6 linked regions of the Mus musculus genome follow. The protein of the gene in region 6 purifies or fractionates together with the protein of the main gene of each other region. This does not show direct contact. Links are inferred from orthologs where the notes say so. Each region holds a gene or a part of one and is shown on either strand. Other genes may lie near its edges. The genes, in order: Cops4, Cct7, Cul4b, Cops7a, Xpc and Ddb2.

Region 1 (3,945 bases), on a different chromosome or scaffold from region 6:
GGAGGAGGGGAGGCAATATGATCTGGATGGTTAAAAGTGAGCTTTTGAAAAAAACCTGGGTTCAAATAGACGTCATGCCCCCAACCCTAGCCCTTGGCTTGTCACTGATTTAACCAACAATTCTTGAACACTACACTGCATGGAACAGAAAGTGTCAGCATTAGAAATCTTGTACTCTATAATTTCTTAAAGTGAGAGCCTTTGTTTCTCAGTTCCCAACATAAAAACCATAAACGAACAGATGAGTTGACATATGTACATCATAAAGTATGTGGCTGGCAGAACTGTGTTGTTATGAAAGTAAATTCTGACACATTCTTACCAGATAGTACTAGGTAAATACCTAAAGGGAAGGCCAAGAATATCCTCAGAAAAAAAGCACTGAAGCCTGGAGATGGCTCAGTGGTTAACAGAATGCTTGCTGCTTTTCCAGAGGACCTGAGTTCAATTCCCAGCATCCACCCAGGTGGCTCAGCACCACCTGTAACTCCAGGTTCAGGGGGATGCACTCCCTCTTTGAACACCCATAGGCATTTGCACACACGGCACACATACACATAAATAAAAATAATAAGCTAATTCTTAAGAAAGAAAGCAATGTTGAGAGGGTGCCAACTAACACTGCATGGGCTATCCATTATCAAGCAAAGTATTTCATTTCCTCTTAAGGAAATCCACTTGGTAGGCTGGCACTCCACCCTCCATTCATATTCCTGCAAAATACCACTTTGCTTCTAAAGAGTTAGTGATATATTCCATTTCCTTTCCCCTGGAATCTGGACTGGTCTCGCTACTTGCTTTCATTGGTATTACAGAACTGATGTGAGACTTGTCAGACTAGCCTTATGCCTTACAGCTTCCACTCTCACCCTGTTAGAACACTCTGATGCAGGAAGTCCCAGAAAAAAAAGCCAAAGCTAAACCATGTAGTGAGAATAAAAGATCCAGCCAACTGCCAGGTATCTATCTACACGTGGCCAGCCCTAGTGCATCTGCTAGCCAAATTAATCTGCGTAACTGAACCAGGTAAGATCAAGAAAACAGGCCAGGCAACATACAGAATCCCGGGGTGGGGGGTGGGGGGTGTCACTTTTATATTACTCAATTGTGTACTTATTTAGCTACAACAGGCAAAAGAAACACCCTATTGGAGACATGCTACTGTTCATTTCTAATTCCGGGCTAGAGAGATAAATAGTAATGAAGTTCCACAAGATTTTCAAGTTCTAACACCTGCATCTTAGCTGATAATTAATGAACTTACATTTTCTGTAATAAAGAGAGAAAAAAACAAAGGAAATATAAGGGAATACATAAGCTAGTTTGACTTCTATCCAAAGCTATAAAAGTATTAATACATGGAAAAACAACCAAACGATGAAGACATAAATGAACTATTTCCAACCCCTGGAATAAGTCGTATGTACTTACTGACTGCTTCATAACAACATTATGACATTTTCCAGATACCAGGGACTGTGCTCAGTTATTGAAGTGTAATTAGTACATAGACACATGCTCATTTTGAAATCAGATAAGACTAAGCCTCACGATTACCCTTCCATTTTTTTAAAGCGGAAAAATAAAGAATGATGTAGTTAAGCCCAGGTTATACAACTAAATTTCCCACTAATAAGGTAGACTGTACTTTCTACACAGAAAAGCCCAGCACAGCGGCCACACAACACACACACCATTTCAATGTGCAGGTTTGAGCAAGAATATTTCATTAATTAGATCAACATGCCCTCAGCTGTGAGGTGTAAATGTTAGGGCCAATTGAAGGCATACTTTCATTAGAAGGCAAAACTGTGAAAAATCTACACAAAGAAGACTACAGCTGTTCAACAACTGCTTGAGGGGACTGAAACATGTCCCAATTTTTGACCTGTCGTGGCTCTAAGCACCCTAAGGTTTCGACAAAATTCCTTAGCAGACCCTGGAAATATCACTGTTCTAGACATCCTGAGCCCGAGGACATTCTGCCTGTGTTCTCTTCTCCAGAGTTGGTGACAGACTGCGAGTATCCAGAACATAAGGACCCACACACGCTATGAACTGAGAGAAGTTCTGGACCACATGACAGCATCCATACCTCCTCTGCCCCTATCAATCCTGGAAAGCCATCTCTTCGAAATAAAAGTCTGCATCAAAGTCCAGAATATAAATTTACCTCCAACACGGCGAAGGCAGGGGCGGCAGCGAACCGAAGTCAAACTCGGTGTGTCGGGCTCGCCGAAGAGACTCTAAGGAAGGCGCCCACCGCCGGGCGAGCCGTCATCTTTCTTACCTCGCTTCCAGAAGCCAAAAGAACCCGCAGAGGGCGTTATCAAGGACTTAAGAAGCTGGCAGCCACCTGGGGTCCTGGGACGGTCAGGACCCCAGCATACCGTCCCTACAGCTTTCTGTTGCTCCCAACATTTACCGCCACAGCCGAGTTCAGGCCCGCCCCCCTGAGTCAGGCCTAGCTCGAGCCTCACGCCCCGGAGCGCCCGTCGCCTCTGGGAAGATAAACTTGCGGCTTCCTTCCTACCTCTGTACTCCTAAGAAATACTCACTTGCCCGCCAGATCTTTATGAGAGCCGCTTGAATTCATGAGCTGGGCCAAATCCTGTCGCACGGCAGCCGCCATCTTTCCTCCAGCTCAGCCACGGCTGCGGGACCTCTCGCTGCCAAGAAGAAAACGAGCGTGGTCCTCCAGGAGGCGGGCAGAGGGGACGCGAGGTGCCATAGAGCAGCGTCTCTGTGGGCCAGAGCGCCGGATAGGGGAGCAGGAATTAGCTCCGCCCTCCGAGTTGAGTGACACCAGACTCCTCTCCTCCGGTTTGAGGACCGCCCAGGTCTCCCGAGAGACGCAGGCGCTCACGCTCCGACCTGGGATTGGCTGAAGAACTTGAGGGCGTGTACTTTGTGCAACTTCAGTAAAGGCCCGGCAAGTCAAAGGACGACGTTTTCCCTAAGTTCCGGGACTGATTATTATCGTTCTCCGCTCCGTTCTTTAAGGCATCACTTAAACGACCTATGTAAAGAGTTACTTCCAATTCACTATAGTCCAACACTGAAGAAAAAAGAAACAAAAACCAACCAACACACACACACGGAATGTCAATTCCAAAGATAAGAGGAAAAATACAACAGACCCAAATCATCATTTTACAACAAATTACAACAAGCAATCCATGAAAGCAAGCTTTTTTATTCGTGTACACAAGCTGCCTTCCCCTAAGGTGGAGTTCAGTAGGTCAGCCCTGGATTCAAGGAAGACAAGGTGTTTATAGCTCAGGGGTAAGGGGTTCCATATCGGAGATTTGGCGGGCAAACTAGGCGGCGAGCAAAACAAGGTAACACAACAGGTAGCCATAACAAGGTAGTCATAGGTGGTCATGGAACCTATGCAGCAGATAAGGCTCCAAGGTGGTTATAAACCACTTCTTGAAGCAAAGACATGACTTCTATTCCTGGAACAGGCAGTGCAGAACATTTTGTAGTTAAGGTTACAGGTGGAGAATAGCCCAATGTCTGACAAACAAAGGTTTAGTCATAAACAAGAAAGAACCTAGTTTGTCTGGAACAGAGGTTTAATGGTAAACAGAAAGGAACCTAATCTGTCTTTACTATATAAGATGGCTTTTAAGTCTGAAATGGAGACAGGCTGGTTCTTCAGATCATTTACCTGGGAAAGAGTATACCACGATCAAGAATATGCTCCTCCCACGATGAGTCACTGGCATCTAAGTGTGCCGATGTCTGCGTTTTTTCCACTTGGGAGGAAACTCAACTGCACAGTTTATGATCATAGTGGACTGCTTTTGGCACATTCCCCTTATAAACAAATAAATAGCTAGGTTTCATGGTGGTCACCGTAATACTAGCACTCCAGAAGTGGAGGCTAGGGAATCAGGAGTTCAAGTCTATACCCCTGATCCTATCGACTTGGAAGCCAGC
Region 2 (4,124 bases), on a different chromosome or scaffold from region 6:
AAGAGTAAATACCTTCCTTTTCCCAGAGTATCCAGGGTCTCGTGACAAGAAAGGGCTTCTCTATACTCTCAGCATTTTGGGGGGCACTCCTTAGTTCCATCTAGAAGGAAAATGCTTTCCCAAAGGTCCCACAGTCTCATGGTCCTTCTGGAACAAACCTTAGGACAGTCAAGAGCGGTGGTTCTCAGCCTGTGTGTTGTGACACTTTTAGAGTCAAATGGCCCTTTAACAGGCATGGAGACACTGGTATTTATGTTACAACTCATAACAACAGAAAATTAGTCATGAAGCAACAATGCAATGATTTTATGGTTGGGGGTCACCACAACACAAGGAACTATATAAAAGGGTTTCAGTATTAGGAAGGTTGAGAACCACTGATCTAAAGCCAGGCATGGCTGTGCACAGCTATGATCCCAGTGCGTGCTTGGGAGGTGGAGGCAGGAGGACTGCTGTGATATCAAGGCCAGCCACAGGGAAAATAAGGCTGGCAGCAGTACAGTAAGCCAAGCTATGGTTACAAGGTAGGTCCCCTTCTGCCATTCTTTGGCAATAGTACTGCCTAGAACCATTCCTTACTTTCCACCTCACTCTTCTTGTTCCTTCACAAGGGCTTAGTACCCTTAGAACCATAAAAGGCTTTAGTGTTTCGTCTTAATCTTCCTCTCCATTTTCCTTAGATCGTTTAAGGGACTGACTGGAAGAATCTCTTACAACACTGGCTGCTCTTCCAGAACTGGGGTTCCCTCCACTCCTAGCATCCACAAGGTGGGTCACCACATCTGTAACTCTAGTTCCAGAGATCTGACACCTCCATGGGCATTACATGTACATAGTAACCAGGCACACAGTAGTCATAACACCCACATACACTAAATAAAACAAAAGTCAATACTATCTATTAAACAATTAGTTGGAGGAGGCCCTGGAAGTGGCTCAGGGGTAAAGCTGCTAGATGCATAAGCCTAAGCACCAGAACTCATTACAAGTCTGTCATTGTGGTATATATCTGTAATCCCAGAACTGCTACAGCAAGATGGGAGGAAACAAGAGTCACCAGCAGCTCATAAGCTGTAAGTATGCAGCACAGCAGCAGAAACAAGAATCATCAATTTAGGTAAAACCCAAATGTGATGGTCTGGGACCCTTTGATAAAAGGTTTGCTACTTGTTTTGGCCAATGCTGGGCCACTGGTCATATCAGCAGCAATGATGCATATTTTACTGCAGCACATATGACTCATGGATTTATGCCTCAGCTCTGGTCTTCGCCGACCAAATCAATTTCAAGCGCTAGGGGTCAGGGAGCATGGACATGCTTCTGTAGGGACTCCTTCGGAGGAGAAGCTGTAATTTGGTAGCAGAGGGAGGACCTTACAGGTTTCCAAGTCTGTCTGGCATCTACGCATAGGAAGAAGCTGCAAAAGGCAGACAAAGGATTGACACTAAAAAGCAAAACTTAACGAGTGTGCTGATGCCAAACGCACAGGATTCTGTCTTGGAAGTTGACATTGCTCACTAACAACTCAGGTTTATCACAGGGGAACAGGGGAGGTATCTGACGCTGTCGGGGATAAAGGGTGATGCAGGAGGATTACAGGCAGACCTTTAAGAGACTCTCCTGCCTAAAGTACTCAGGTCGTCCCATCTTTGGTACTGTGTACATCAATTGCCCTTTTCCAGCACCAAGTACATTCGGGAGAACTAAAAATGCCCCCAACGAACAGGTTCCAACAGGAACGAAGGATTCTGTCTTTCCACATGCGGGAACGTAAACGACCACAATGCCAGGCAGGGCGTCACTTGGCCCAACCTAAAGACCCTCACGCTGCCTCTGTGCGCCTAGAAGCTCGCGCCTTCACTTCCGCACCTCCCAGGGCGATGTAACCCGGCCTTATGGTAGAGGTACAGAGCTCAACACACACTCGGTTCCGAAAACCCAAGCCTCCATTACGGGGAACAGGCTGAACAAGAGGTCTGTGGTCCCAAGCACCATGAGATCCATGGTTTCCAGGCCCAGCGGCATCGCGAGCCCCATTCGGCTCTCGCCAACAGCTTCAGTTTTGGATCAAGGCCGCCTCCGGCCGGGGAGCGGAAACGAGCCACTGTAGACACTCCGCATGGCGGGCCAGGGCCGCAGGGTCGTGGATGGCAGCGGATGCGCGGAGAGACACTCACCATCATCTTGGAAGCGGCTTCAGGTACCCGCAACTCGTCAGTTGTCCGCCTCGGGGCCGCCCACCCAAGCCCACAATGCTCCGCGCCGGAGAAATGCCCAGAAGCTTCTGGCGAGACGTTAGCCCGGGAGAGGAAGGGGCCGGACCACTTCCGCCACTCTATGGTTAGCTCCCGAGGTAGCCGGCTAGAGGAGTCGGAGGTCCAGGGACGCTCTAGGAACTCGCGTTAGCTTTGGCGGGGGTCATCGAGTCTCGCAGTGCTTTTGGTTTGTAAGGTGCGGTAAGGTCCCGCCTCAGCCCGCGCTCCCAGACGCCATGGTAGACGTGCAATGAGCTATCAGTACTGAACACCGGCTAGGAGAAGCACCTTAGGTGAGTGATCTCACTGCACCTGCTCAGCTCCGTGGCGAGGGAGCTCCGTGAGTTTCACAGGTAGCTTGGGAAGTTGGGAACAGTGTCCCGGGTCACAGGTGCGCGGCCCGCTCGGGCGCAGGAAATTTGCTCGGGTCGGCTTCTAGCTCTGTAGCGCCCCTTATCGGCCGAGGCGGCGCCGTGCCGCCTGCCCCTTCGCGCGAGGCCCGTCTCTGCCTGGGGAGGAGAGCCGTGGATCCCGCGCAACCCCGCGAGCCGCCCACCGCAGGTTCCGGGAGGCGCGTCTATAAGGAGGAGTGCGGGGGCGGGGCCGCGAACTGCAGTTGCTATTAAGAGTTTTGGCCAATCAGCGCCCGGTTCCACTTCTCCTGGCCAATAGGAAGTGGCCTAGGGCGCAGAGGAGGAAAGTGCGGCCACACGAACAGGCGTGGCGGCCAATCAGCCGCTGGCCTCCGTTCTGTGCTCCAACCGGCGCGGAGAGCGGGCCTGAGGGAGGCCGTGGCAGCTGTCAGGCTAAAGTCGGGCGAGGGATCGCGGCGGGACGGCGGCGGCGGCGGCGGCGGGACGGGCCCTGGAGATGAGCCGTGGCGCCGCGGGCTGGTGCTGTCTCGTGCTCTGGCTGCCCACGTGCGTCGCGGCCCACGGTGAGCGGCGACGGACAGGCGGGCGGGGCGGGAATCCAGCGTGCGCGCTTCCCGGGCTGGGGGCCACGGGTCACCTTGGGGACCCCGCGAGTTTGGGCCGCCCAGATCCAGGGACTAGACGGCTGCAGCGGGTGGATGCTGGTTCCCGGGTCAGTGAGTAGGCACAACCTGACAACCCCACCCCTCCCCGTCGAAACAAGAGCTTTCAGCTTTCCTCCCACTGAAGGCGACCCTGGTGACAGCTAGAGATCCAGAACGGAGGATGTGAGCGTTCTTATAGGCAGGAACACACATATGGGCTCACACGCACAGGCACCCACTTACACAACTCGAACATAAATGTACACACCTACGCGTTAAGTGAACACATGCATATACCCGAAGCTTATTAGATAAGCACATCAAATGCCAGACAGGGGTGTGCTTGTGGAAAGGGTTGCCTGGTGTTAATCCAGAAGGCTTCCTGGGGGGGGGGGGGGGTTATCCATCTGATGAAGTGTACCTACACTCAGGACAAAAAGCTGCAAGCCCCCTTAGCTCTGTCTGAGCTGTAATTTGGACCATAGACAGGATCAATTATAGACACAGCAATTGGATTGACTAACAGACCTGAGCTTCCATCCATCAACATTTACTTGCCTTTCTGGCAAGTTTAAAGAATCCAGGGACTCAAATCCAACTGAGAAAAAATATCCTAGCAAAGCTCTCGTGGTTTTTTTGGCCATTCTCTTGTTCAGGACAGCAGAGCTGGGCAGAGTTCTTTGTTTAGTAACCTTTACTGAGCAGCCACTGTGTCCTAGGCACTGGAGATTCATCTCTGTATAAAGCCACATACTTAAGGCTGGAGAGGTGGTTCAGTGGTTAAGAGCACTGACTGCTCTTCCAGAGGTCCTGAGTTCAAGTCCCAGCAACCACATGGTGGCTCACAACCA
Region 3 (3,500 bases), on a different chromosome or scaffold from region 6:
CTAGTACTTTTTCCAAGTTTTCTTGCTTTTTACTAAGAAGGTGAAACAGCTATCTACGCTGCTTAATGAAACCACTTGGTTGCTGAGATTTACAAAGTACAGAAGCAGTTTCTCTCTGAACACCCACTCCCTGAATTTTAATCAGTCTAAGGATTTTACAAGCCGGGCATGGTGATGCATGCCTATAATCCCAGAATTTGGGAGCCTGGCATGGAAGACCACGAGTTCCAGGGCAAGTTGGGTTTTAGTGAAACTCTGACTCAAAAACACCAAGTTTTCAAGATCCCATCAACCTCTAGTATTATTTTAAAATTACACACTAAACATACACCAAACCAATAATCAAATCCTTGATTCAATCTAATTAGCCAGGGAAGATAATAACTTTAAGCTCACATTATAAAAACAACTGCTAAAGACTAAATCACACGTGAAAATTACTACAAGTTTAAGATGCCTAAAGTGTTTTATCAACAGTTTTAAGACTATTAGGCTGAGCATGTAATACTTACTGGGTGGTCTGATCTAAGTAAGTAATAAGTCTGTCAGCTTCTTCTTCTAGGCGTTTATTAACATGATGAAGATACTCAGGAACCTACAAAGATAGTTTTTTATATTATTGTTTTCCTCCCCTTAAATCATTCAGAAAATGTCAAGTCCAAAAGATCCAGGTAAGAGCCCCGTCAAATGTGACAGGGAGAAGCATATGTAAAGTTAGAGGTAGAGTTTATGATCCAGCATTGTGGCCTTTAAGGAGAGAGGAGAGAAAGGAGCACCTAAGTGAGAGAAGAGCATGGCCATGTCGGGAACAGAAATACAAAGGGAAGTTTGTGTTCTACAAGGAAATGGCTATTGTAAGAGACACTGGAGTCATTAAACATTTTAAAATACCTCTCTTTCTTGCATTAACTTCTGACCTTCGGCTGCGTAAAGCCGATTAGTTTCTTGCAAAAATTGCTGTTCAAAAGAATCTTGGTAAATCTAGAAAAAAGGGAAAACAAAAGTATTTGCTTAATCATTAAGTATTTACTGAATGACTTCCATCAGAACTCCATTTGAACAACACTCCATGGATTGCAGACAAACTATGAACAGTAATCAGATTTGTAGGTAGCACAGTGAGTGTTAAGTACAACTTACTTGCAAATCAGACAGCATACTTAAAAGGCTTCGAAGTAAACTTCTATCAATTGCTTCACCATTCCGCTCTCTCTCAATCAAGAGAAGGATGCCATCAATCGTTTTTGTCTGTACTTTTTGATCACTTATAATATGAGCCCTAAATAACTCTAATCCCATGTCCCTAAAATTAAAAACAAAAAAGTATCATCTGAATTGGCAATACCACATGTGCACAGGCTGACTTATCAAAGTCTGGGTCCTCAGACTTTGAAGTAGTAATTATAAAAAAAAATCCACATTTAATTTTGAATAACATTATTAAAGCATATAGGAAACCCATTTTGTCTTAAATGAGAACTGAAGCTGAATTCCTGGCTTCTTCCATAACTAGGTTTTAGTGTCTTATTTCCTCTTAGTGAAATTAGAAATAAAATTAGTTCAAAGACAAAATACTTTCCACTATACTGGCATTGAGCAGCTTATTTGGTCATTCATAAATGGCTTCAAAACTCTAAAATCAGGCTCTTGCTCTTACCTTCTTGCTCCCACTCTGTCCCCTCACCTCTTCCCCTCCTCCCCATTCCCCCCTCTCTCCATGTGTGGCCTCTACTTCTCTCCTCTCTCTCTCTGCCTCTACTACTCTCTCAATTCCCCTCCCCATTAATAAAGTATGCTAAGCACCTGCTGAAGGACCAAGACATTATGCTATCTTACTTTCATAAAACAAACAAGACTTTTACTGTAAAGTAACAAGAAAAATAAAAGAGCAAAACGTTAGTGAGCAGCAGCTCTAAGATTCAGGCACAGAAATTCTAGAGTAAACTTTAAGATCTTCATACCTAATGAAGAAATGTCTTCATACACTATGAGGTTAGCTATCTGCTAATACATTAGAGTAGGCAAAACAAAACAACCCCCCCCAAAATGCTAGGATCCAAATGGGAATTTTTAGGAGAATATTCTGAATACAGCTTGTTCTCTTTTGTTATAATAATTAAGACTATGGTATGTAACAAAATTTTCATAATAATCTTCTGGCATCCTTACCAAATGGAGGGTAGCATTGAATTCTGAAGAACATAAGTTCTATCCAGAAACAAAAAAATGCTCCTGATCATTATCTGTCAAATAAGAAGGAAAAAAAAATCAAGCAATTTTTGTAAATTTGAATCTTCAGTATTAGCTCTTAAAATGAGAATTTGGAAGATTTTACATTAAATAGACTACTAGGATCCAACTTAACAAATAAATAAATGTATCTGAGATGTCCCATATATTTATCTTTAAACTATTCTATTAATCCTTGTGGTGTTTTAAATAGACTACTAGGATCCAACTTAACAAATAAATAAATGTATCTGAGATGTCCCATATATTTATCTTTAAACTATTCTATTAATCCTTGTGGTGTTTCTAGAGAACAGAGAATTAAGATGGTCCTCTGACATCTTTGTTACTTAACTGAAAAGAAAAACTGGAGGTAGGCATGGGGTGCATGCCTATAATCCCAGAACTCAAGAGGCTAAGTAAGACAGAAAGATCTTGAATTTCAGGCCAGCCTGTACTACATAAGGTGATCTTGTCTCAGAAAAAAAAAAGAGGGAATCCAAGGTACACTTAGTCTTCCTTAGCAGCAGTGCTAGGGGGTAAAGCTATTTTAAACGTGTACCCATGGTATTTAGAAGGTGGAAAGTGGATTTCAAGATTTCTACTTGCATTAATATAAAGAATAAATTCCAGACTTTACCACTCAGCTATATCCCAATTCTTCCAGGAAAGCTATCAAAAACATTCTACCACCTCAATGTTTCTGAACTCAAGTACTGCCGACTTACCATTTGCCTACAGTGGTTTTGCCAGCATCTATCGATCTTTTTGAGAAAAAGAACACTATCCAATGAATCCATGAGACAGGTGTTAAGGAGATTTTAAAATGTTTCATATGTGTAATATAAAAACATAGTTGTCTTTAATACAGAATATCCCACATACTGATATTAAATACAAATTATAAACATAATTCTTTTTTTTAAACTGCAGAACCAAATATGATCCCCCTTAACCTACCTTTAAAACTAGTCTTAAACATAACTGAGCATTATGTTTTCTATTTGAGATTTCCTTCAAATGGAAATTTGCCAGGACAGGTTTATGACAGGAAATTTTTACTTAATTAAGTACCATACTTGTAGATTTTGACTCTCACATTGAAAAGTTTCAAAATTTTGTTCTTTCCTTTAGAGATAGCAGGACAAAAATAAATCTACCAGCACAGGCATTCCATTTCAAACTGAGCTAAGTAGTGAGAGGTAATGAGACAAACTAAGATACTTTGTTTTGAGGGGCTGGAGAGATAGATGGCTGAGCAGTTAAGAATA
Region 4 (3,989 bases), on a different chromosome or scaffold from region 6:
GGAGGAAGTGACAAGAAGGCCCTGATCTTACCCCATCCATCCCAACAGTACCTATCCTGGTCCCTCAGCTGCTCATCTCTACTCTGGCCCTTTGCTGCGCTAAGCAGCTAATTCCTACTCTCAGAGCTTAAAACTTTCAGTGTTGTGACTATTACAGGTGCACACGCGTACACCAGACATCGTAAACTGTGTGGCCCCCAGAGGGTATAGTGTGGCCACTGCTTCGCAATGTCCTCATAGTGAGGGCTTACTTCATCCACAGCATCTCCCTTCCTGTCACCCCCACTTATCCTGGCATACCATCCCTGTAGGTTCTCACTTAACAGTCTTTTAACAAGGCATTAGACCCAGCAGAGCTGCAGCCCTCGCAGTAAATAACTGATAAATGGCTGACTTGCTGACATATATTTTCATTCACTTATCTGATCTCTTTCACTGGCATCTACTTCATCCTAACGATATACTTCAGTTTACTGTGGATAAAATCAGCAACAAAAGCCAGTGTTTTGTAAAACAGCAGTCAAAGTAACTTTCTATCCTGATTCAACCAAAGGTCTTCTAATGCTTGGCTCAGTTTAGCCACACACTTCGGTCAGGCTCTCGTGACAGGCTGGTGTCACGAGAGTGGCAATCCACCTGCTCTATGCTTTCTAAGTTCTTGACGCAGCCATTTCTGTGAGTGGTTCTCATTACTGTGTTCATAGCTTTGCTACCGTCTTAGGGCAGAAGACAGCATCTTCATTTTCTACCTTAAATGAATCAGAATGTGTGACACTTTGGGGGTGGGGTGGGGTACCATGGCATAATTCAATATGCTCATTCTTTCTGATTTCAGGGGACTTTAGACTTCCCCACAATGTTACTTCTGTAACCGTGAAGGGAACTGTGTGCTTTTTTAGGTTTTTCCTCATTGCAGTTCTGAGAACTGAACCTATACTGAGCCTTGCAAACTACAGACAAGGGCTCTTTCACTGAAAAGACCCCCACTCCTTTTTGAGATGGAGTCTAAGTTGCCCACGCTGATCTAAAAAGTTGTGGTCCCCTATCTCAGCATCCCAAGTTCCGAAATCGAAGCCAAGGCCTCACAAGTGCTAAGCAACTACTCTATCAGCAGTTAGATTCTCACCACCATTTTAAAGAGAAAACTGAGGGTTTTCTGATCCAGGTTTTCTGACTTATTTTGTTTTTAAGATAGGGTTTCTCTGTGTAGCCCTGGCTGTCCTGGAACTCAATCTGTAGACCAGGCTGACCTACAACTCAGAGATCCAACTCTTTCTACCTCCCAAATGTTAGTGACAGGATTATTAAGAGGTATCACTAGGCAGGCATGGTAGCACAAGTCTTTAATCCCAACACTCGAGAGGAAGAGGCAGAGGATCTCTGAGTTGAAGGCCAGCCTGGTCGACAGAGAGAGTTCCAGAACACAGTTATAGTACATAGAGAAACCCTGTCCTGAAAAAAAAAAAAAAAAAAAAACCAACACAAAAAGATATCATACTGGTGGACAAGCTGGAGTTTATCAGTGGTATTCTTAATGACTTGTTCTTTTGCTTCAAAATTAAAGATTTCTGCTTGCTTCAGCAACACATATACTAAAACTGGAACGATCCCGAGAAGATTAGCATGGCCCCTGAGCAAAGACGACACTCCAATTTGTAAAGCGTTCCATATTTTTAAATAACAAAAAAAATTATGCATGAGACATAGGCAGGGATTTCCCACACATTCAAGGCCACCTTAGACCATAGTTACTAGTTTAGGGCAGCCAGGACTACACAGTGAAATCCTGACTCAAAGTGTGGGTACAGAGGGAGGGAGCACTAAGTTTACAGACCCTTTATCTGTAAGATAATGAAGACCTTTATTTGATTGATTTATTTTTCCATGTTGAGAGCTAATTATCGGTACCCCGATCACCTGAGTGGTTACTGGGTACAAAAAACGAGCCCAGCACTCAAGAGTTAACTTTGGTCCCAACGTTCTTTGGGGACTACCCAGGCAAGCAACACACCTCTCTAACATTAGGCATATCCAGCAGTTCCCCAAACACGTAGACACCAGGGGCCTCCAGCACCTGGTGGATGAGTGTGGCCAGTGCCGCCCCCTTAGCCGACTTGGCAAGGAGCAGAAACTGCTCTTGGTTCTGCCCTGTCACCTTCACCTCCGCACTCATGGCTGCGCCGAGGTGCGGGGCTCTGGCCTCAAGATTTCTGGAGCTGCAAGGAAAGAGGAACGTGAAACTAAAGGTCCCTGGACCCTGCGAGGGTGGTCAGCTCGAAGGGACGGGAGCTGCACGCTCAAGAGGGACCCCGCCACATCCGCAGTGAGTAAGTGGGGTCCTGAGGTCTAAAAGGCAACTCGAGGGCTCCTCCAAGCCAGCCCCATCCTGGCTGCCACGCCCACCCGCTCCGTCATCCCGGGCCCAGTCCCAAGCCCCACCACGTGCACCCCATTGAGTTCCAAGACTGATGAACCAGGGAAGGGAGAGATAGCACATGGTGTCTACCGGACGACGACGAACCCCCACTTCGGGACGCGAGTCGTGCACGTGGCCGCCCCCACGTGACCTCACCTCCTCGCGCCTGACTCGCGGCTCCACCCCCTCCCTTAAAGAGGCAGCCCCGGGACCGGCCGGGGTCTGCGCCCAAGGCCAGGTCGTACCCCCGGACCGACTGCAACCGACGGCTACCTGGAAGCCTCGTCTCCCAGCGCACGGGGCGGGGCGGCCGCTCCGTCACCTCCGGCAGCGGCTCCCAAGCCTTTCCTGCCACCTCCCCGCAGGGCCGCTCTAGCCGCTCGCTTCTATGGCCAGCTTCCGGCCGTACTTCCGCTCTCGGGAGGCGGGTTCCGGGCGGCTCCGGCCTGCTTCCGTTTCCGGACCGCGGGAGGCGCGAGAGCGGCGCCCATCTTCCGCTCTGTCCGTGCATCTTTATGGGTGCGAGAGCGGTGAATGCAGGGTGCGGAGAGGACCTCGGCTCTGCGGAGGTCCGGGGGAGCGACCCTCCCGGGAGCTGCAGGACAAGGCAGGATGGCGGCCCCGAGTTCCTGCGGCGACGTGAGCGTTAGCGGAAGGCGAGAATTCGCAGAAAGAAAAAATAAGGGAGAAAGGAGAGAAACGAGGCTATAAATAGTCCAACAACTTATCCACTCTTTTTAAAGAGCAGAAGAAAAGTTTAAAGGGTAAGGGGGCAGGAAGTGGTAACACATGCCCCCACCCCACCCCCCGGCGTATTGGAGGTAGAGGTAGGGGAGAATCAGGAGTTCAAAACCAGCCTCAGCTCCATCGCAGATTCCAAGCCAGTTTGAGCAACATGAGAACCGGTCTCAATAAGAAAGAAAACAAACCCCCGAGTGATTAAGGGGGAAAAGGAAGTGTATTGGTTAGGCTTTTGAGGTTTTCTTCCCATAGAAGTTTCAGATCGCATGACCAGACTTTTGGCCATGGTTACTACAAATAAATATTGAGTCATTTTTTTAGTCTTTGGATCCCAAATTAGCAAGGAGAAAAGTGTGAGTGGAACCAAGGCAGATGAGGAAATTTAAAAGTTAAAGGATTCAGCCGGGCACTTGTAATCCCAGCATCCAGGAGGCTGAGGCAGGAGGATTGCTATATGTTGGGAGGTTATCCCGGGCTACAGTGTGAGAGACCCTATCTCCCAAATATCATGGTGGTACACACCTTTAATTAGGTGGATTTCTGAGTTGGATCATCCGCCACTAAATAGACCAGGTTTCAAAATGAAACAAAACAAAAATCCTTACAGAAACCATATAAGGAGGAAATTAAGGTAAAGCCAGGTTTACTGTTAGATGATTTGTAATCCTATCACTCAGTAGGCTGAGGCAGGAGAATTGGACCTTCAAGGGCTGAGTTCTGGAACTAACCTGTAGGACAAAGAAATATGGATAGGGTCCAAGTGCATACCTGTCTGATTCCGTCGCTTCCTTCGAGGGATGGTGGTGCATGCTTGTGGTCTAGCACTTGGGAG
Region 5 (3,084 bases), on a different chromosome or scaffold from region 6:
GGAGACACTCATGCATGTGGAGGCCCAAGGTTAATATCTGGACTCCTCAGTCATTCCCCCACCTTATTCACTGAGGCAGGGTCTCTCAATCAAACCCAGAGTTAGGCCAGGCAGTGGTGGCGCACGCCTTTAATCCCAGCACTTGGGAGGCATAGGCAAGTGGATTTCTGAGTTCGAGGCCAGCCTGGTCTACAGAGTGAGTTCCAGGACAGCCAGGGCTAAACTGAGAAACCCTGTCTCGAAAAACCAAAACTAAACCAAAACCAACAATAACAACAACAACAAAACCAAGGTTAGCTCACTGATAGCTAGCCAGCTTGCTCTGGGATCCTGTCTCCACTCTCTGAGGCTGGAATTACAGGCAGGTTACCATGCACACCCAGCATTTATGTGAGTTCTAGGGACCCAAACTCTCAGACTTGTGCAGCAAACGCTTTAACCACTAAGTGTCTCCCCAGGCAGGGAGACTGTCCTAACCTGAATTGCACAGATCCAGGTGTCAGAGCATCAGGCTCCGCCTTAATATTTTTCTGATGATGTCATTGCTTCACCTTCCCTTCCTTTACTTTTGTCTGCAGAAAAAGGAAAAGCGGGCGCTGGGGAACTGGAAGCTGCTGGTCAGAGGACTCCTCATCAGAGAGAGGCTGAAACTCCGCTATGGGGCCAAGGTCAGCATGGGGCCTTTGTAGACAAAACAAACCTGGGGTCAGATTCCTAAGATTACCACTCAGCTGCTGGCCCAGACTAACGTGTGACATCACGTTCTAGGTGGCTTTATATCAGGAAGCCTGCCTGCTGACCTCAGCTAGCTGCTCCTGGCCTGCCTTGTGTCCTGTTACCCTAAGCTGTTACACTGACACTGAGTTCCATGTCAGCAGTTCAAGTGTGTTGGACCTTTTGTGTCTGCACCTCTTGGCTTCCAGGACTCTCAGTACTGTGACCAGCTCTCAGCCTGCACACTCTACATATCTGTAGCACCTATCCACAGTACTGGGTATGGGGGAGGGCTTTCATCCCTGTATAGGCAGAACTTAGAACAGTTGAGGGATGGGTACTAAGTCAGACCCAGCAGGCCATGCTCTGAATGTTCTTTTCCCTTCCTGTTGCCTCTTGGTCTGCTAAAGACATTTTAGTCATGTGTTCCCTTGAATACCGTTAGGGACCCCTTCATCTGGCTTATTCTCACTTGTTCTTGCCTACCCATTTACTGTCTTACTGTCCATCCAGGACCCCTCCCCAGCTAACCCAGCCAGCCTCTAGGGGTACTGCCTTAGGCCCCTTAGTGCTGAAGGTTGGTCATAAGTACTGAACAGATGAAAATACCATGCATTTGTGTAGAGTAAGGTGGCATGCACAACAGCAGCTGTCTGCCCCTTAACTTGACTGAGCTGCCTGCCTGGGCATCTTCTTTCTACCAGCAGTTCTCACTTACGTACCTGCTTGGACGAGCTCCTAGACTGGAGAAGGCCAGCAAGGCAGCCTGGGCTCCCAAAGTACCACCCACATGCACCCTTGCCTTCCAGGAGGCCCAGGCAGGCTCAAGACTGGGTTCTTCAGGCCCTTATATAGTCAGTTATCTGCAGCTAACCATTAACTGTGGCCCCTCCACTGTCTTTCCCCAGAGCGAGGCAGCAGCTCCCCATGCTGCTGGAGGCGGACTCTCTTCTGATGAAGAGGAAGGGACCAGTTCACAAGCAGAAGCAGCCAGAGTCCTGGCTGCCTCCTGGCCACAGAACCGAGAGGATCCAGAACAGAAGTCCGAGTACACTAAGATGACTCGGAAGAGGCGGGCGGCAGAGGCTTCCCACCTCTTTCCGTTTGAGAAGCTGTGAAGCCAGTGTCCTCCAGCCAGAGAAGGCAGACAGCAAGCAGATGGGCTGAGGACTACAGGCCAGATGGGAGCTGTGCAGCAGATCAGTCTGACACCAACCCAGCCGGATCCCCATAGGCTGGTGCTGGTGAGCTGCTGTTTGGACCACTTTCCTGGGAGATACCTTCGGATCCCTGGACTTTGGTATCTTTAGAAATGTGAGTTTGTTTTAGAGGGTCTTATTTGTTACCCCAGCTGGCTTCAAATTCAAAATCGCCCTGACTTATACTGAGGGCTGAGATTACAGGCGTATACCACAATGCCTTATCTGTCCTTTATTTCTGTTTTTAAATAGAACTCACTGGGAAATTATGGGTACTGGAGCACTGAGACAAATCTTCCTTTAGTGCCGTTCACAACGCTTGCTTTCCTCTCCTTCAGACCCAGGGCATTTGCTTTTCAGGCCTGCCTTCCTGAGTCAGGTTTCCAGTACTGCCTGCTGCTCTTTTGTCAGAGAACGCAGGTCACCTCTTGTCAAGGCACTTTTGGGATTTTACACTGACAGAAGACTAGAACAAAGAGCTAAAAATCAAGAATGAGAAAAGAAAACAGAATTATGAAAATGTTCATAAAAGATTAGTTTTTGGTTACATTTTATTCAATTCTGGATACATTTACTCTGTACTGATGATACATTTTCTAAGCTGCTGTATGCTCTTCTCAGGAAAGAGTTCTTTTATAGGACCTCCAGGAAATAAAGCATTTACCTAAAAACCCCTGGCTGCAAATTTATTTTTCAGGCCTTAAACCAGCTAAGAAGGTTCGGCTAACAGATTTCAGTGTTTGGTGAGAAAGCACAGGTGTTTTCACAGGGGCTGGGAACTCCTCACACACCAAGGAAGCGTTTTATGTGTGGCCATATTTGATATTGCTTCATCTTTGAGTCTTTAAAATGTTGAGTCACTCTTACCAAGGCAAACAAACAAAACACTTGGGGTATGACTCATGTTGGACACTGGAAGAGAAACAGACTAGGGTCACCATGGAAACTGCACTCTTGTACTTTCTGCACCAGAGCCCGACAAGCTTCCCAAACAGGATTTCCTTTCTGGGGTTTTGGGTAGGCATGGAGGTGTCCCTCGAGATGCAGCCTATTCTGGGAGGTGTCAGCTGTGAGAAGGCATGATGGGAATGACATGTTAGGCTTGGAAAGTTTGCCTGCTTGAGAACAGCGTGGCAGTGCCTCAGATGGGAAGGAAACAACAAAGAGGTGC
Region 6 (3,500 bases):
GTTATTCTGAGATTGTAGGCTGTGTATGTGACCCTTCCCCCAACATGGAAAGATCTGTCCCCTTCCCATAATGACAGATCCCTTTCTCTTGTCACTCACCTTGATGGGTGTGAGGTGCTGAAAATGGCGGTGAGGGTGGGAGATCAGATTCAGGGGGCTATCCCACTGGGAGGCAGAGTAAACCCGAATCTCATTGTTCTGGTCAGTAGTCAGGAGCCGAGCTCCATCTGGGCTAAAACAAGCTGACAAAGTGAAAAGCCCTTAAGCTGAAGGAAGCCTCAGCCCCTGGTATCCTGATCTTCCAAAATACCTTTCCTTTCTAGGTAGGGGAGGAGAGATCAATCTGAACTATGAACAAAACTACCATGGCAACTCCACTGCCAAAGGAGCGGTCGGAGCCAGAAAGGGTCCTACACACCATTGACCTGATGGCTGGTGGTGAGAAAGACAGGGCACATAAGGAAGATGGGGTTTGGGATGTCACACCTGCATTGACAGGATGCCTGTGAGGCAGTGAGTAGAGGAAGCTGTCTTTCCCTTTAATTTGGCGCAGGTCCCAAATCTTCACTGTTTGATCTATGGAGGCTGTGGCCAGAAGCCAATCACAGCAGGGATTCAGGGCCACGTGGGCTACTTTCTTCTTGTGCATTCGGAGGTTCCAAAGCTACAGAGAAAAGTTTGGTTCAGGTGTTGAACCAAAGAGGGGTGAGGGGATGGGGCGTGGGCCACACAGTACCCACCTCCTTGCCATCTGTGCTCAACAGGATCACATGTCCCATATTGTCTCCTGTAACCACCACTCTGCTCTTGGCAGAAACATCAAGGCTGCAAAACCAGACCCTAGAGGGAGAGAGTGTGCTGTAAGACCCTTCGAGACTGAGATAGTCTGTTTAGTCACTGTGACAACTCCAGTATCAAGTATTTGTTGAATCAGTGAGTAACTGTCTTACTATAAATTTCCAGTGGAGGGTTTTCAGCCTTGTTTACCTTGCAGAAAAGGGCTGTGAAAGAGTACAGAAAGAGTTGACAGAACTCAGAAATGTGTCCAGTTATTGCTGAGCCCAGAATCCTCAGCTAGTTCCTGGAACCTCAGAGCAAGAATACAAATTACAAGGCTAGCTTGCTCCCCACAGCCCAGGAATGAAGAGTTTTATTTACTATTCCCACTCATCACTCCTCAGTCTTTGCACCAAAGGAGAGGGCAAAGCAAACAGGAACTGTTCAGCGGAGCTCCTCGAAGCTGGCTAGACGTGAACATCTGTCCCCTTCTGAGCATTTAGGGAAAAAAAAAAAAAATCAAAGACTACCAGAACCTTTTTACTCTCGAAAACTATGTGAGAAAAAAGAGACTCAAGAAGCAGGTATTTCATGGATGCTGATTCGAAGCCAAGAGAACTCCAAGTCCATCTAGTCCCCTCTCCTGATGTTGTTCTCAACCTTATGGGACAGCCCAGAATAATAACCAAGCTGCTTAGACTCACTGCACACACCCACATATCATCCTTAGCAAAACTGTGTCTCTGGCTAGACATCAAAGTGGCCTGCATGTGTAATTTCTCCAGCCACTTATTCTTAGGAGGATTCTTCCACCTGTTAACACTGCCACCAAGGAGACAGCAAGGCCATTACATCCCGGAAAATGGAGGGCAATAACATTGCACTTCTTTTTTTTTCTTTCCTGCCCCCCTTTTTTCTTTCTTTTCTTAAGATAGGCCCTCACTATGTAGTTCTAGACGGACCCAGCTGACTTAGAGCTCATAGTGATCCACAAGCCTCTGCCTCCCAAGTGCTGCCATTAAAGGTAAATACCACCACACGTGGCTAAACTTGTCCTTGATTCCTGCTCTACTCTGTAAATACCTTTCCAAGCAAAATACCATGTTGATTTATCCTGTGAAAGTAAAGGTCTAATTTAATACAGCTATAACTTACAGAAGTAATTAAGCCCTTCCATCAAAGACAAGAGCTAAGGATCCAGAATGCCTTCCTAGTGTAACGACCCACTCAGGTCAAAGTCAGAGCCACCAGAATCTAAGGAGGAAAAGGAATGGTGCAAAGTGGCTAAGATCCCTGTCTTCCCTGTGCTGGGCCAAAGTGACAGAAACAGAACTGGGTATGTTCTCAGCAAACTGCATCTAGAGCTTAGAAGCCATTTCCCTTACAAGTTAACTACTCACTTGCAAGAGTTTGAGCTGGTATAAACTCTGAGAATGTTGCCTTTAAAATCCTGCAGCCTGGTTGTTCCCTCCATTGAGGAGGCAAAAAACTGGTTGGTATTGAGATGGTTAAACTTCAGCCCAGTGATGCTTCCTCCAGCTCCAATCTAACATAAGGAAGGAAAAAGCCAGTGAGTAATGATGGGCCAGAAGTGCGGGGCCGGGTCTGGGCACCCAGACAGCACCGAGGCAGCAACACCAAGGCCAGCTTAGATACCTCACATTAGAATATCTGTTTTTAAGGCTTTATTTTGACTTTTATATTGTCGATTAAGAGGTAGTAAATATGACTGGTTCTGGTACACGGCTCTTCGAATTTCAACACACACAAATATCTGAATAGCCTAGCCACCCCCAAAATTAAGATGCAAACATTGACTTCATAAAAACTCCCTCATGCTGCCCTACTTTATCACATTTCTGGCTTACATTCTCACGTTCAAACCTTGGAAACCGCAGCATGCTCTTGTTATAAGAGCTTCAGCTCAAAAAAAAGCGATGTTTGGTGGACAGGGAACTATCTGTATTCTTTCCTGTCCTTCCAGACATTTTAAGCAGTGATGACACAACTGAGCCTGGAGGTCTAGGAAGTGTAAGAACACTTGCCTAGTATGCACAAGGCCCTGGGTTTGACCCCCAACTACACACATCCTCCCCACCCCCTACAAATTAGAAAAGTGGGGAGTAACACCTATGGCTTAACATTTATTAAGAGGCTAGAGAGATGGCTTCATGGTGAAGAGCACCTACTGCTGTTTGGAGTTCAGTTCCTAGCATCTACATAAGATGGCTCAAACTGCATATAACTCCAACTCCAGGGCATCCAATACCCTCTTCTGGCCTCCTGTACACAAGGCATACATGCATGTATACACACATACACACACATACACACACACACACACACACACACACATACACACACATACACACACAAACACACAAATAAATAAATAACCAACCAACCAACCAACCAAGCCAGGAATAGGAGCACACACCATTAGCCAGCAGTTGAGAGGCAGAACAGATCTCCGATTTCAAGGCCTACTTGGTCTACATAGTGAGTTTCAGGACTATATATAGTTCCAGGGCTAATAGACTGTCTCAAATAAAGTAACAAATACAGTAAGAGCTAAAGCCAGGCAGTGATGTACATGCCTTTAATCCCAGCATTGAGTAGAAAGAGACAGGTAGATTTCTGTTTGTTTGAGGCCAGCCTGTTCTACAAAGCTGGTTCCAGGTGAGCCAGAGCTGTTATACAGAGAAACCCTGTTTTGAAAGGAG

Evidence for each region.
Region 1: the proteins of Ddb2 (region 6) and Cops4 purify together in Homo sapiens (affinity purification with mass spectrometry; 7 studies listed by BioGRID and IntAct, counting the BioPlex papers as one, with this or other methods). This does not show direct contact. The link is inferred for Mus musculus from reciprocal best matches to the Homo sapiens genes DDB2 and COPS4.
Region 2: the proteins of Ddb2 (region 6) and Cct7 purify together in Homo sapiens (co-immunoprecipitation; 3 studies listed by BioGRID and IntAct, counting the BioPlex papers as one, with this or other methods). This does not show direct contact. The link is inferred for Mus musculus from reciprocal best matches to the Homo sapiens genes DDB2 and CCT7.
Region 3: the proteins of Ddb2 (region 6) and Cul4b purify together in Homo sapiens (affinity purification with mass spectrometry; 11 studies listed by BioGRID and IntAct, counting the BioPlex papers as one, with this or other methods). This does not show direct contact. The link is inferred for Mus musculus from reciprocal best matches to the Homo sapiens genes DDB2 and CUL4B.
Region 4: the proteins of Ddb2 (region 6) and Cops7a purify together in Homo sapiens (affinity purification with mass spectrometry; 5 studies listed by BioGRID and IntAct, counting the BioPlex papers as one, with this or other methods). This does not show direct contact. The link is inferred for Mus musculus from reciprocal best matches to the Homo sapiens genes DDB2 and COPS7A.
Region 5: the proteins of Ddb2 (region 6) and Xpc purify together in Homo sapiens (affinity purification with western blotting; 5 studies listed by BioGRID and IntAct, with this or other methods). This does not show direct contact. The link is inferred for Mus musculus from reciprocal best matches to the Homo sapiens genes DDB2 and XPC.

What each region holds. Positions count from the first base shown.
Region 1 is NC_000071.6:100,517,164-100,521,108, reverse strand, and holds the start of Cops4 (COP9 signalosome complex subunit 4), read right to left. Parts: upstream 2,801-3,945; 5' UTR 2,633-2,800; coding exon 2,559-2,632; exon of another isoform or gene 2,174-2,558; intron 1-2,173. UniProt on the Homo sapiens protein: Component of the COP9 signalosome complex (CSN), a complex involved in various cellular and developmental processes.
Region 2 is NC_000072.6:85,450,181-85,454,304, reverse strand, and holds the start of Cct7 (T-complex protein 1 subunit eta), read right to left. Parts: upstream 2,801-4,124; 5' UTR 2,184-2,800; coding exon 2,178-2,183; intron 1-2,177. Other genes in the region: Pradc1 (protease-associated domain-containing protein 1 isoform b precursor), read left to right, coding at 3,126-3,192. UniProt on the Homo sapiens protein: Component of the chaperonin-containing T-complex (TRiC), a molecular chaperone complex that assists the folding of actin, tubulin and other proteins upon ATP hydrolysis.
Region 3 is NC_000086.7:38,548,697-38,552,196, forward strand, and holds part of Cul4b (cullin-4B), read right to left. Parts: intron 3,028-3,500; coding exon 2,958-3,027; intron 2,244-2,957; coding exon 2,170-2,243; intron 1,304-2,169; coding exon 1,141-1,303; intron 982-1,140; coding exon 892-981; intron 596-891; coding exon 513-595; intron 1-512.
Region 4 is NC_000072.6:124,962,713-124,966,701, forward strand, and holds the start of Cops7a (COP9 signalosome complex subunit 7a), read right to left. Parts: upstream 2,801-3,989; 5' UTR 2,690-2,800; exon of another isoform or gene 2,573-2,689; intron 2,555-2,572; exon of another isoform or gene 2,440-2,554; intron 2,217-2,439; 5' UTR 2,174-2,216; coding exon 2,012-2,173; intron 1,676-2,011; exon of another isoform or gene 1,571-1,675; intron 1-1,570.
Region 5 is NC_000072.6:91,488,805-91,491,888, reverse strand, and holds the end of Xpc (DNA repair protein complementing XP-C cells homolog), read left to right. Parts: intron 1-578; coding exon 579-668; intron 669-1,436; exon of another isoform or gene 1,437-1,622; coding exon 1,623-1,832; 3' UTR 1,833-2,584; downstream 2,585-3,084. UniProt on the Homo sapiens protein: Involved in global genome nucleotide excision repair (GG-NER) by acting as damage sensing and DNA-binding factor component of the XPC complex. Has only a low DNA repair activity by itself which is stimulated by RAD23B and RAD23A.
Region 6 is NC_000068.7:91,216,567-91,220,066, forward strand, and holds part of Ddb2 (DNA damage-binding protein 2), read right to left. Parts: intron 2,324-3,500; coding exon 2,178-2,323; intron 841-2,177; coding exon 741-840; intron 665-740; coding exon 487-664; intron 243-486; coding exon 100-242; intron 1-99.